Oryzias latipes: one gene and its partner. The protein of the gene in region 1 interacts with the protein of each later gene in a biochemical or structural test. Links are inferred from orthologs where the notes say so. Each region holds a gene or a part of one and is shown on either strand. Other genes may lie near its edges.

Region 1 (4,512 bases):
CTCATTGGAGGAGCTGGAGGTGGGCCGAGAGGTGGAGGTCCAGTCATTGGAGGACCTTGCATGGGTGGAGGACCTTGCTGTGCCACATTTCCGGCAGTAGGAGGCAGATTCTGACCAGCCAAAGAATGAGGCTGCTTTTCTCCCTTTGATCCCCTCTCCTCTGTGTCAGAGCTGTCAGATCCATCCGTATATTCTTCCTCTTCTTCTTCGTCTTCATCCTCCTCAGGAATCGACTGACCTGAGAAGAGAAAAGCAGCGAATAGATATAAATATTTAAATATATTGAGAATAAAAGGCAGCTGTAATGCTGTAGAGATGTGGATGTGGCCCTCGTCCTCACCTGCCATCCTCAACATCATGGCCTGCAGAGGAGTGATGGCTTTGCTCTTTTTCACAACTCTTTTCTTCTTTTTCTTCCCATCTCCTTCCGCTGGCATGTCTGCAAAACGCACACTCCGACCTGCCGGGAATACGAGCCGGAGAAAAAAACACAAGACATTATATTAAAAAAAATGCACTCAGGGATGCTGATCAGCATCTTTGTTTCCTTTTTTTTTACCTCTGTCTTTGTTCTCCTCCCTCTTTTTGTCGTCATCTTGCCGCTCGTTGTCCCCTCCTTCTCGCTCTTCCTCGCTGTCTTCCTCAGAGTCGCTGTCATCGTCCCGGTCATCTCTGTCGCTCTCACTGCCACTGTCCTGATCCCTTTCCATTTCCACGTCTCTATCTAAACCAGGAATGGAGGATTCTTTGCAGAGAAAAAGAAAAGGTAAGAGGAGCAGGAGATTTAAAAAAAACACACACACACTGACATAGATGTGTCTGAATGTTACCGGCTTTTGTGCTGTAAGCTCTCCGAGAAGGAATTCCATAGAGAGCCAGGACCTGAGGAGGTGGGGGTCCAGGTGGGGGCCCTGGTGGCTTCTTTCCTGGAGGTAAACGCGGGACACCAGGTACTGATGCCATCACCGGTCCAGTGGATGAAGAAAGAAGTGGCTTGCTATGAAAAACAAAATGAGAACAATAAATAACATATTACATCCCACAGAATGCAGGAAGAGAAACTTGAACAAAACCAACCCAAAAGGGGTCTTCTTCAGAATGGAGGGAGGCTGCGCCCCTGGCAATGGGATGTCTTGGATGTGAATATTTGAAGGAGCGTGGGGCATGTCAGGTAAAGGAATACTGTCGACCTCCACTGACTCGGCATTCTGGAGGAAAAAATGCAAATATTAACACCTGCAACTAGAAAAAAAAAAAAAAAAAAAAAAAAAAAAAGCCAAAAAGACTTGAAATAAACCAAACTGTGTGTGTGACTTGGAGGTAAAACCTAATTTAAAATTTTTCAAAAGGTAATTAATACTTTAAGAAAAGAATAAAGGATCTTTAAGTGAACAAAGGAAGGAAAAAGGATCAGGAAGAACTAAAGCTACCTTCACTGAATCAAAATAAAGAGCCAGCTGGCCTCGCTTGGTCTCGTAGTCCAGTTCCAGTTTGCGCAGCTCCTTGTAAGTTTCCGGGTTCTCCCTCTCGTACAAATGGATGATGCGCTCAAATGTCTCACGCAGCTTCTTCCTCTTGTCCCTCAGTACTTTCTCATTCAGCAGAGGCTGTTGAACTGGGTTAAACTCTGCAGACAAGAAAAAGAATCAAAATGTTATTTTAAATTAGGATGGAGAGTGACTCAAAAGCTTATCCACATGCATGGACATCAATTTATGGGTTATAATACCGCAGTAGTTAATTCTGCTTAACTGAGGCTACATGACTATGTGTGTAGAGAGTCAGCTCAAAGATTAACTTGGGTTCTAGGAGGTTAAAGATGTAAAATAAAGTGAAAAAAGCAAATAGGAGCTGCTTACCCATCTCATCTAGCTTCTCCATATCTCTGATGATCTGTCTGGGATCCTTCATTTTCAACACTGCTGCTCTTACCATCATCCTCTGCTTCTTGTTCTGTGCAAAGAAAAAGCAAAGAAATGCAATCCAGAATAAAATTGTTTAGAAAAAAAAAATGAATGAATAAAAAAAGCCAACAAATATTCAGCTTAACAGTCCAAGTACCTTTTTTAACTCCCTTTTCCTCGCCTCTTTCCCTGTAAGGTAGGTAACACAAACACAAATGAGTCATGTTGACTGGATCTGATCATCACTGCTCGCACGGGTCGGTACTTACTGGCCTGGTCGGTGGGATTCATGAACTTCCCACTCTTGGTGGAGGAGGTTGAACGTCGCCCCATTGTTGCGGTCAGTCTCGTTTAACCTAACCAGTGCAGAATAAACGATGTAATGAGGTAAACAAACAAAAACTACAATCATATTCTAAAATGTGGTTAGAGTGCCTTGATGTTACTGTTTTATACCAAACTGATGGTAAGTTTTATGATCCCACAAAGCTAAATTAATATTTGAAGGAAGTTTAACTGTTTCTCTTTATAATAGTTGAGCTAGCAGGTAAACACGGAACTCTTGGCTCTTATTTTTACATAATTTGGTAAAACAAAGAAGGAATTCAGGCTGCTGGCAAAGCATATCGAAGCAAAAAGCTTGGACTCCAGCAGAGATTCGCTAGCTTAGCGCGTTAGCTTGCACTTGTGGCTACGCCCGTTTTAGCATCAACTGCAACAAATTAGTCAACGCCGCCTCTACCTTTACTTCAGGAAAACCTGGTGGACCACGATGGGTTTGTCACGCTCTCCGTGACACCTAAAGCAAAAAAATAAAGCCACAACCGAAAGAAAACCCAACACTTTAGGGCTAAATGTGTATGAATGCAACGTTAGCCGTCCGCCATGTTTACTGGCGCGGGCAAAAGCGGAAACACGATTTTGACGTCATAAAATTTCAAAATAAGATACTTTTTGTTGAGTATTTTTAGTTTGTTTGAAAGTTTTTGTTATTTGCTAATTTTATGGCCAAACATCTTCTTTTTTGTAATCAAATGCCGACCTTTAGTATTTGCCTGACAAAATAAAATATTTATAAAGTATTTTATTTATTAAAATGTGTGTTTGTTTGATTGTTTTTTGCCATTTTAAGAGAATGGAAACACAATATACTGCCATTGCTAACTACCGAGTACTAATATTAACAATATGAAAAAATGCATGATGATGTGATGTTTAAAACATTTTTAAAAAATAGAATGACATATTTTTCAAGCAATGACAATAACAAGCACCGATTCCAGCCAGAAAGGCCAAGTGGGCAAAATATGTTTAAAAGTGGGCAGAAAAAGTGGACCAGTTCACCGAATGCCCACTTAAGCCAATGTGAGGCCACCACAGAAACTGCAGACAATTGCCCACATTTTCTGCTCACTTTTAAACCATATGGGGCCCACTTGGCCTTTCTGGCTGAGAGCTAGTAGTATTGTTTACATGGAATTGAACTGTTGCTCTTAGGTTTAGTTAAGATTCAGGTTAACTGTGACAGCTCATTTTCTCTTTCTGACTGATGCAGATGGGGAAGCTGCTCATCTAAACGGATAACCTTCCCAATGATGCTGCCATACACCAGAACATCATTGAAGAAGAAGGCTTTGAGCTCCCACGTCTTCATCGTTTTGTTGTGTGTTTGTGGTGGGGAGGTGTAAGAGGAGTGTAAGGGTTGTGGTAAATCAGCTGTTTCTTTAAAGTCCCATTAGCTGCCATGCACCAAGGTGGGGGAAATTCGTTCTCCGGAACAATGTTATCAAGGACAATTTGGTAGTTTAACCCTCCAATTCAACCGCTTCATGCTGGGTGTTGAGCAGGAAGTTATTGGGTCCCATTTTCAAAGTCTTTGATCTGACTCAGCGGTGGATTTGAACTCACAACCTCCACCACAACCCCTCCACCACAAGGCCTCTGAGCTGGAGACCACAGAATATTGGCCACAGAATAATGATACAGTTGACAACTATGTGAACACGAGAGCAAGTGAAGTCTCAGTGTTATGGTGTCTTCATTGTAATGTAAGTGTAATTAGTTTAAAATTTAAATTAAAAAATGTGTATTTAGTTTTAAAACATGTCAGTAATTAGGATTGGAAGGCCAAATGACCCACACCCACAACACAAAACTGGCAAAAGACTTATAGACATTTTTATGGTACGAAGTCGCATGCTTTGATGAAATATTTGTTCTCATTCTATTTCTATCTTTTGGCCGTGCATTGCATTCTAAGATCATACTGTGTGTAAAAACATTCGACTGTATCATGGGGAACGTGAAACGTTGCATCCCTACTGCATATCATGGTTGTGCTAAATTTAACGACGTTTTATTATTCATTGTTTTATTACATTACACCAGGCTAAGTACAAACCAACTGAAATGTTTTTTTTATTGTTAGTTGCTTATTAGCAGATTAAAATAGCATTTATTTTTAATTTTTTGAAATACACAAATCATAATCATTGTTTGACCACAGGTGCAAATATGACGGACCGCTAACAGTTTTCTTATGTCAAGAGGGTGGGAGATGAAGATGCTGTGTTATACCGCACAGCAGTGTTATACTCACCTACCTGGA
Region 2 (4,520 bases), on another chromosome or scaffold:
GGATTTGATTGGCGGCCGCCATGTATGTACATTCGGGATCGGTTAATGGTTTTGTGTGCACCATCCACCACCAAGCACAAGTCATTTTTTTTTTAACACACCTCTGAGCAGCCAAACAGCATGGAGGTCACTTCAGGTCTTAGACACTTCAGTCATGGTTCAACAAAAAGAAACACGCATGCCCGGCCGCATCCCAGAATCCTTTGGTGCCATTAGACCCAACGTGCACTTGATCGCCGCTACAATATGATGAAGCTTTCAAGTTAAAAGCAATCGTTAAAAGCAGCGTGAAAAAATCCCCCATCAGTAAATGGAAATGCCGGTCAGCTGCGTGACGGAGAGAACAGCGCATGCTCAGAAGTGTATTTACCTCTGAGTCATAGTGACTCGGCTGGCTGCACGTAAATATGTGTGAATAACATCAGCCTTTATTTTGTCGGGACACGACTGGAAACACAAATCCATTTGGTCGTTTTTACGGTTTCTGACTGAGCGGAATTTTGCATTGAAAAGCTCACAGCCGCCGTGTGAGCTTTTCGGATAGGAAGGGGAGACAAGGAGCCTGCTTGGCGAGCGCGGAGCGCAGAGGCGTCCGCGGAGCAACAAGTGTTTGTTGTGAGAGGAAGCTTCTGACGAACGCGCCGCGCTGAGGCGCGCGCTATTTTACTGATGTTTTTTAACCAGCCCCGTTAGTACCATAACGCTGCCGCGACACAAGTGGAAGGAGAGCTGTTCCTTTTCACCCCTCCATGCACTGCTGCTCCTTGCTCATTCTTAAACACGAACAACAGTGTGGCGAGCCGGGCGTTGGCCCCGCCTTTAGCCCCTAAGACTCATGGGAAATGGGGGATCGCGGATATAAATTTCCTCATCATAACTGAGGGATGTAATGTTGATTATATGGTTACTGTTTGTAATTTTATGTATGATACCTAGTTTGTCAATAAGTTAAAAAAAATAAAAAAACCCATAACTGAGGAACTTGTGAACAGAATAGAGGTCCATGCCGTTTCAGATGTGGGTGTAATTAGATACATGAGCTTGAGACAAGGCCAGTACCTGCCCACAGTGTGGTAATGAGCCATGCACACTCTGGTAGTCAGGATGCGCTTTGTTGAGGCAGCGGCTTGTATACTGATGCAGCTTGTGTATGTACAAAAATATTTAAGCACGTTAAAATAGGTGGGTGCGGCTTGTGATCGGGTGCGCTTTATAACCCGGAATTTACGGTAAATATAATATATATAATATAAAAATAATATAAAAATCAAAAGGAAATCCACATCTTTGAGGTTTTAGAAAACAATCATTATCTGAGTAGCATGACAAACAAAGTTTGAATATAAAGATGGATAAACTTTAGCTATATGAGAGTTTATTACACATTCATGCTCTTCATGTTCTTTTTTTGTTTCCTCATACCCTTGTCAAAAAGTAAAAATCCAATATTTTGGACATTTTATGAACTCTGTAAAACAATTTTTAATGAAAGCAGAGCAAAGTCATCTACTTTACCAAATTCTTACCTTTTGCTTTTTTGGCAGCTTTCATTATAACCGCTGACGGATCATTTGGGGAAAGCCAGGAAACCAGATCGGACTCAATGTTCCAGTAATAAGGAAGACCGCTGGGAAATGAAGAAAACAAATAACTTTAGCTGCAATTGCTTTTCATTTCAATGGTAGATCAATGACACGCAGTGATCATACTCAAACACAGCAGCGCAGCTGATCGACTTCGTTTCTACGTACCACGTCGAGTCAAACACTTTGTACCAATTTGGGGGAAGATTTTCTAACCGAGTGGCTTCATAGTCAACATTGTTGTCATCATAATCTTCAGCGATGATCTCCTCCTCTATCTCTGTTTTGTTGAGGAGAAAAAGTCGTTTTAAGCTCAGAAAAAAAGCAGAAAGTAAGCTCTGTGAGGATGTAGAATACTACCTTGATCTGAAGGTTTAACTATTCCTCTCTTGGCCAAACGGGCCAGCAGGGCTGGAGGTAGAGGCATCTGCAAGCACAGAGGAGTTAGGATTAAATGATGATGCAAATGCTGACAAATTCTTCAGTTGATTACATACGAATTCACCGATTGTGTACAGGAGTTAGGATTGCAGAAATTTTGATTAAATATAAATTCTTTTTAAAAAAAAATAAAGGTTCCATTCCAAAACTAATTATGTTCGTTCACAAACATTTTTGCCTAACTAGTGATTTAAATAAAGCAAAACTTGAACTTTAAATCAATAAAATTCAACTTCTGGCTTTAAAAGCAAAGAAAATGTTTTATTTAACCTGACAAATACAAAATATTACTTTTATAGAAAAATCAATTAATTAAATAACTGATTTGGCTTTAATTTGGCAGAACTGTTTCGTTTCAAACTAACCCATAAAAGCAACAACATAAGAGACACCCATTACCCCAAATTCTGAAATTAAACATGTTCTATGACCAAATCCAGATGTACAGATGTGTACATTCAGAGCACCTGTATAGATAAGGTATTTGAAGCAAACAAATCCATTCTTCACTGTTTCTAAACAAATTCTCTGGAGGAAAATTTTATGATAAGGTGCGAAATTTAAACACGCACGCACGCGCGCGCACACACACACACACAAAACTGTCTCAATTTCAAAGCAGCTCAAAAAATGAAACAGGACTTTTCTGAAAGTTATTTCGATGGTTCTGGTTCTACTATGGAGCGATTGATTAAAACTCTCAAACGTTAAGTTTTTTTTGTCTTTTAAATATTGAGGTTAGTGTAGCTCAGTCAGTTTTAAAATATCGATAATTAGCAAAGAAACAATATTTCAAGAGCTAAAATAATCTGCACGAAAACATGATCCAGGCCCGTTTTTCTGAACTCAACTCACAGCTGCGGTTAAAATAAATCAAAATCCCGTCATTTTGAAGTTCCTAACTATAATAAGAAACTCAATTAACCAAGTAAGCGTTTATATAAATAACAAAGAGGGGGGAAAGTCTGTACCTGTTCTTAAAAACGACTATTTCAATCGTTAAAATCAACAGACCACCACAACGAACGATGAGCCGGCGCCTGATTATGACGTCACTGCGCTTAAAAGACGACACGAAAGATGGAGGAGTTTGCGCGTGAACCTTGGTGAGATTATCTTTTTTTGTCGAATAAAACCTAAACATATTAGTTTGTCCTTTGGCTTTTATGCAATTTTGCCCTCTTGTTGAACGAAACCTGACCAGGTTGAATAGTTTCGCGTCCACCACCGAGAAGTAATCTAATTTCAACTAGAATTCTAACATTTCGCAGGTTATAAAATATATTATTTCTACAATTTATGGAAAAACGACAACATTTACTGTTAGTGCTTTAAATTAGCTTAAAACATATTGCGAACAAATGTTACATATTTTGTGACATTTTTAATTAATTGGTAGTAAGCTTGTTTATTGTTTTTCAAGCCGAAACATCCAATTTATATCCTTGTGCAGAAATGGATGTTTTATATATCACAGAATATAATGGTATTTAATAGCAATTAAGATCACAGTTACATTTATTCTATAAATCCTAAATGCAGTTTAAATCTCTCAACAACTTTCAGACATTTTAAAGAATAATCATTAACATTGTCTACTATTTCATAGATGGATGATTGTTTATTAGAATTCAGTAAAGTCGACACTTCTAGGGCTTCAGGCACACAGATCTCCTCTAAAGCTGCCCCAACTCATCAAAATGCTGACATGCTTGTCATTGAGTCATTGATAATCCAGATTGATAATAACACTTCTGAATTTAACTGATTATAGATATTAGATAGTTGTTATGGTTAACCCATTTACTTCTGAGTTCAGAGTTTTTGGAGGGATTAACAGAAAGATCCCCCACCGTCTACAAAAGGAAGACACACAAACCAATCAGAGTAAAAACATGGAGACAGAATCATTTGTTTCTCTTTTTGGTCTGCTCCTGCTCCGTCTGCTTGCTGCCCCACGCCGCTCCGTCTGCTTGCTGCCCCACGCCGCTCCCTTCTGCCTCCTTTTTTCCCCCTCGCAGCTACAAGCTCTGCCACCTCTGGCTCTTCTCTGTTCTGATCTAATCAGTTTCTCTCTGATCTGTTCCTGCTTTGTGGTTATTCCTAGTTTTGAACTTAAAGGAAGTCAGAATTCACTCCCCTTGTGTCAGAAGAAAACACTGTGGATCTGTGATCCATTATTTTGCCTTTAGAGAGTAAATCTGAATGGAGAGAACCCCCTAAGTTTATAAGACAAAAGAATCAGAGGAAAATCCTTTAATTTATCATTTGACTCGTGACAAAGTAGAATAAATAGAAGAGTTAGCATGAAAAAGCCTGTGTCTTCTCATTTAGATCTTTGTTTGTTTTGAACATTTGAGCCTCCTGCAGCAGTAAGCCACCAGAAAGAACAATAATATGTTGCTGTTTTGCTGTCTTAATCCAATGACTAATTATTTAAACAAGTGTTTTAAAGCTGTTAAAGAAAATGCAGGTTCAGTGTGACCTTAAATAATG

Evidence for each region.
Region 2: the proteins of wbp11 (region 1) and pqbp1 form a complex in vitro, tested with the Homo sapiens proteins (2 studies listed by BioGRID and IntAct, with this or other methods). The link is inferred for Oryzias latipes from reciprocal best matches to the Homo sapiens genes WBP11 and PQBP1.

What each region holds. Positions count from the first base shown.
Region 1 is NC_019866.2:20,477,819-20,482,330, reverse strand, and holds the start of wbp11 (WW domain-binding protein 11), read right to left. Parts: upstream 2,814-4,512; 5' UTR 2,647-2,813; intron 2,261-2,646; 5' UTR 2,238-2,260; coding exon 2,174-2,237; intron 2,094-2,173; coding exon 2,062-2,093; intron 1,954-2,061; coding exon 1,860-1,953; intron 1,628-1,859; coding exon 1,431-1,627; intron 1,209-1,430; coding exon 1,078-1,208; intron 998-1,077; coding exon 831-997; intron 746-830; coding exon 560-745; intron 461-559; coding exon 341-460; intron 239-340; coding exon 1-238. UniProt on the Homo sapiens protein: Activates pre-mRNA splicing. May inhibit PP1 phosphatase activity.
Region 2 is NC_019865.2:21,319,278-21,323,797, forward strand, and holds the start of pqbp1 (polyglutamine-binding protein 1), read right to left. Parts: upstream 3,085-4,520; 5' UTR 2,996-3,084; intron 2,011-2,995; coding exon 1,944-2,010; intron 1,864-1,943; coding exon 1,752-1,863; intron 1,628-1,751; coding exon 1,527-1,627; intron 1-1,526. Other genes in the region: timm17b (mitochondrial import inner membrane translocase subunit Tim17-B), read left to right, coding at 3,105-3,130. UniProt on the Homo sapiens protein: Intrinsically disordered protein that acts as a scaffold, and which is involved in different processes, such as pre-mRNA splicing, transcription regulation, innate immunity and neuron development.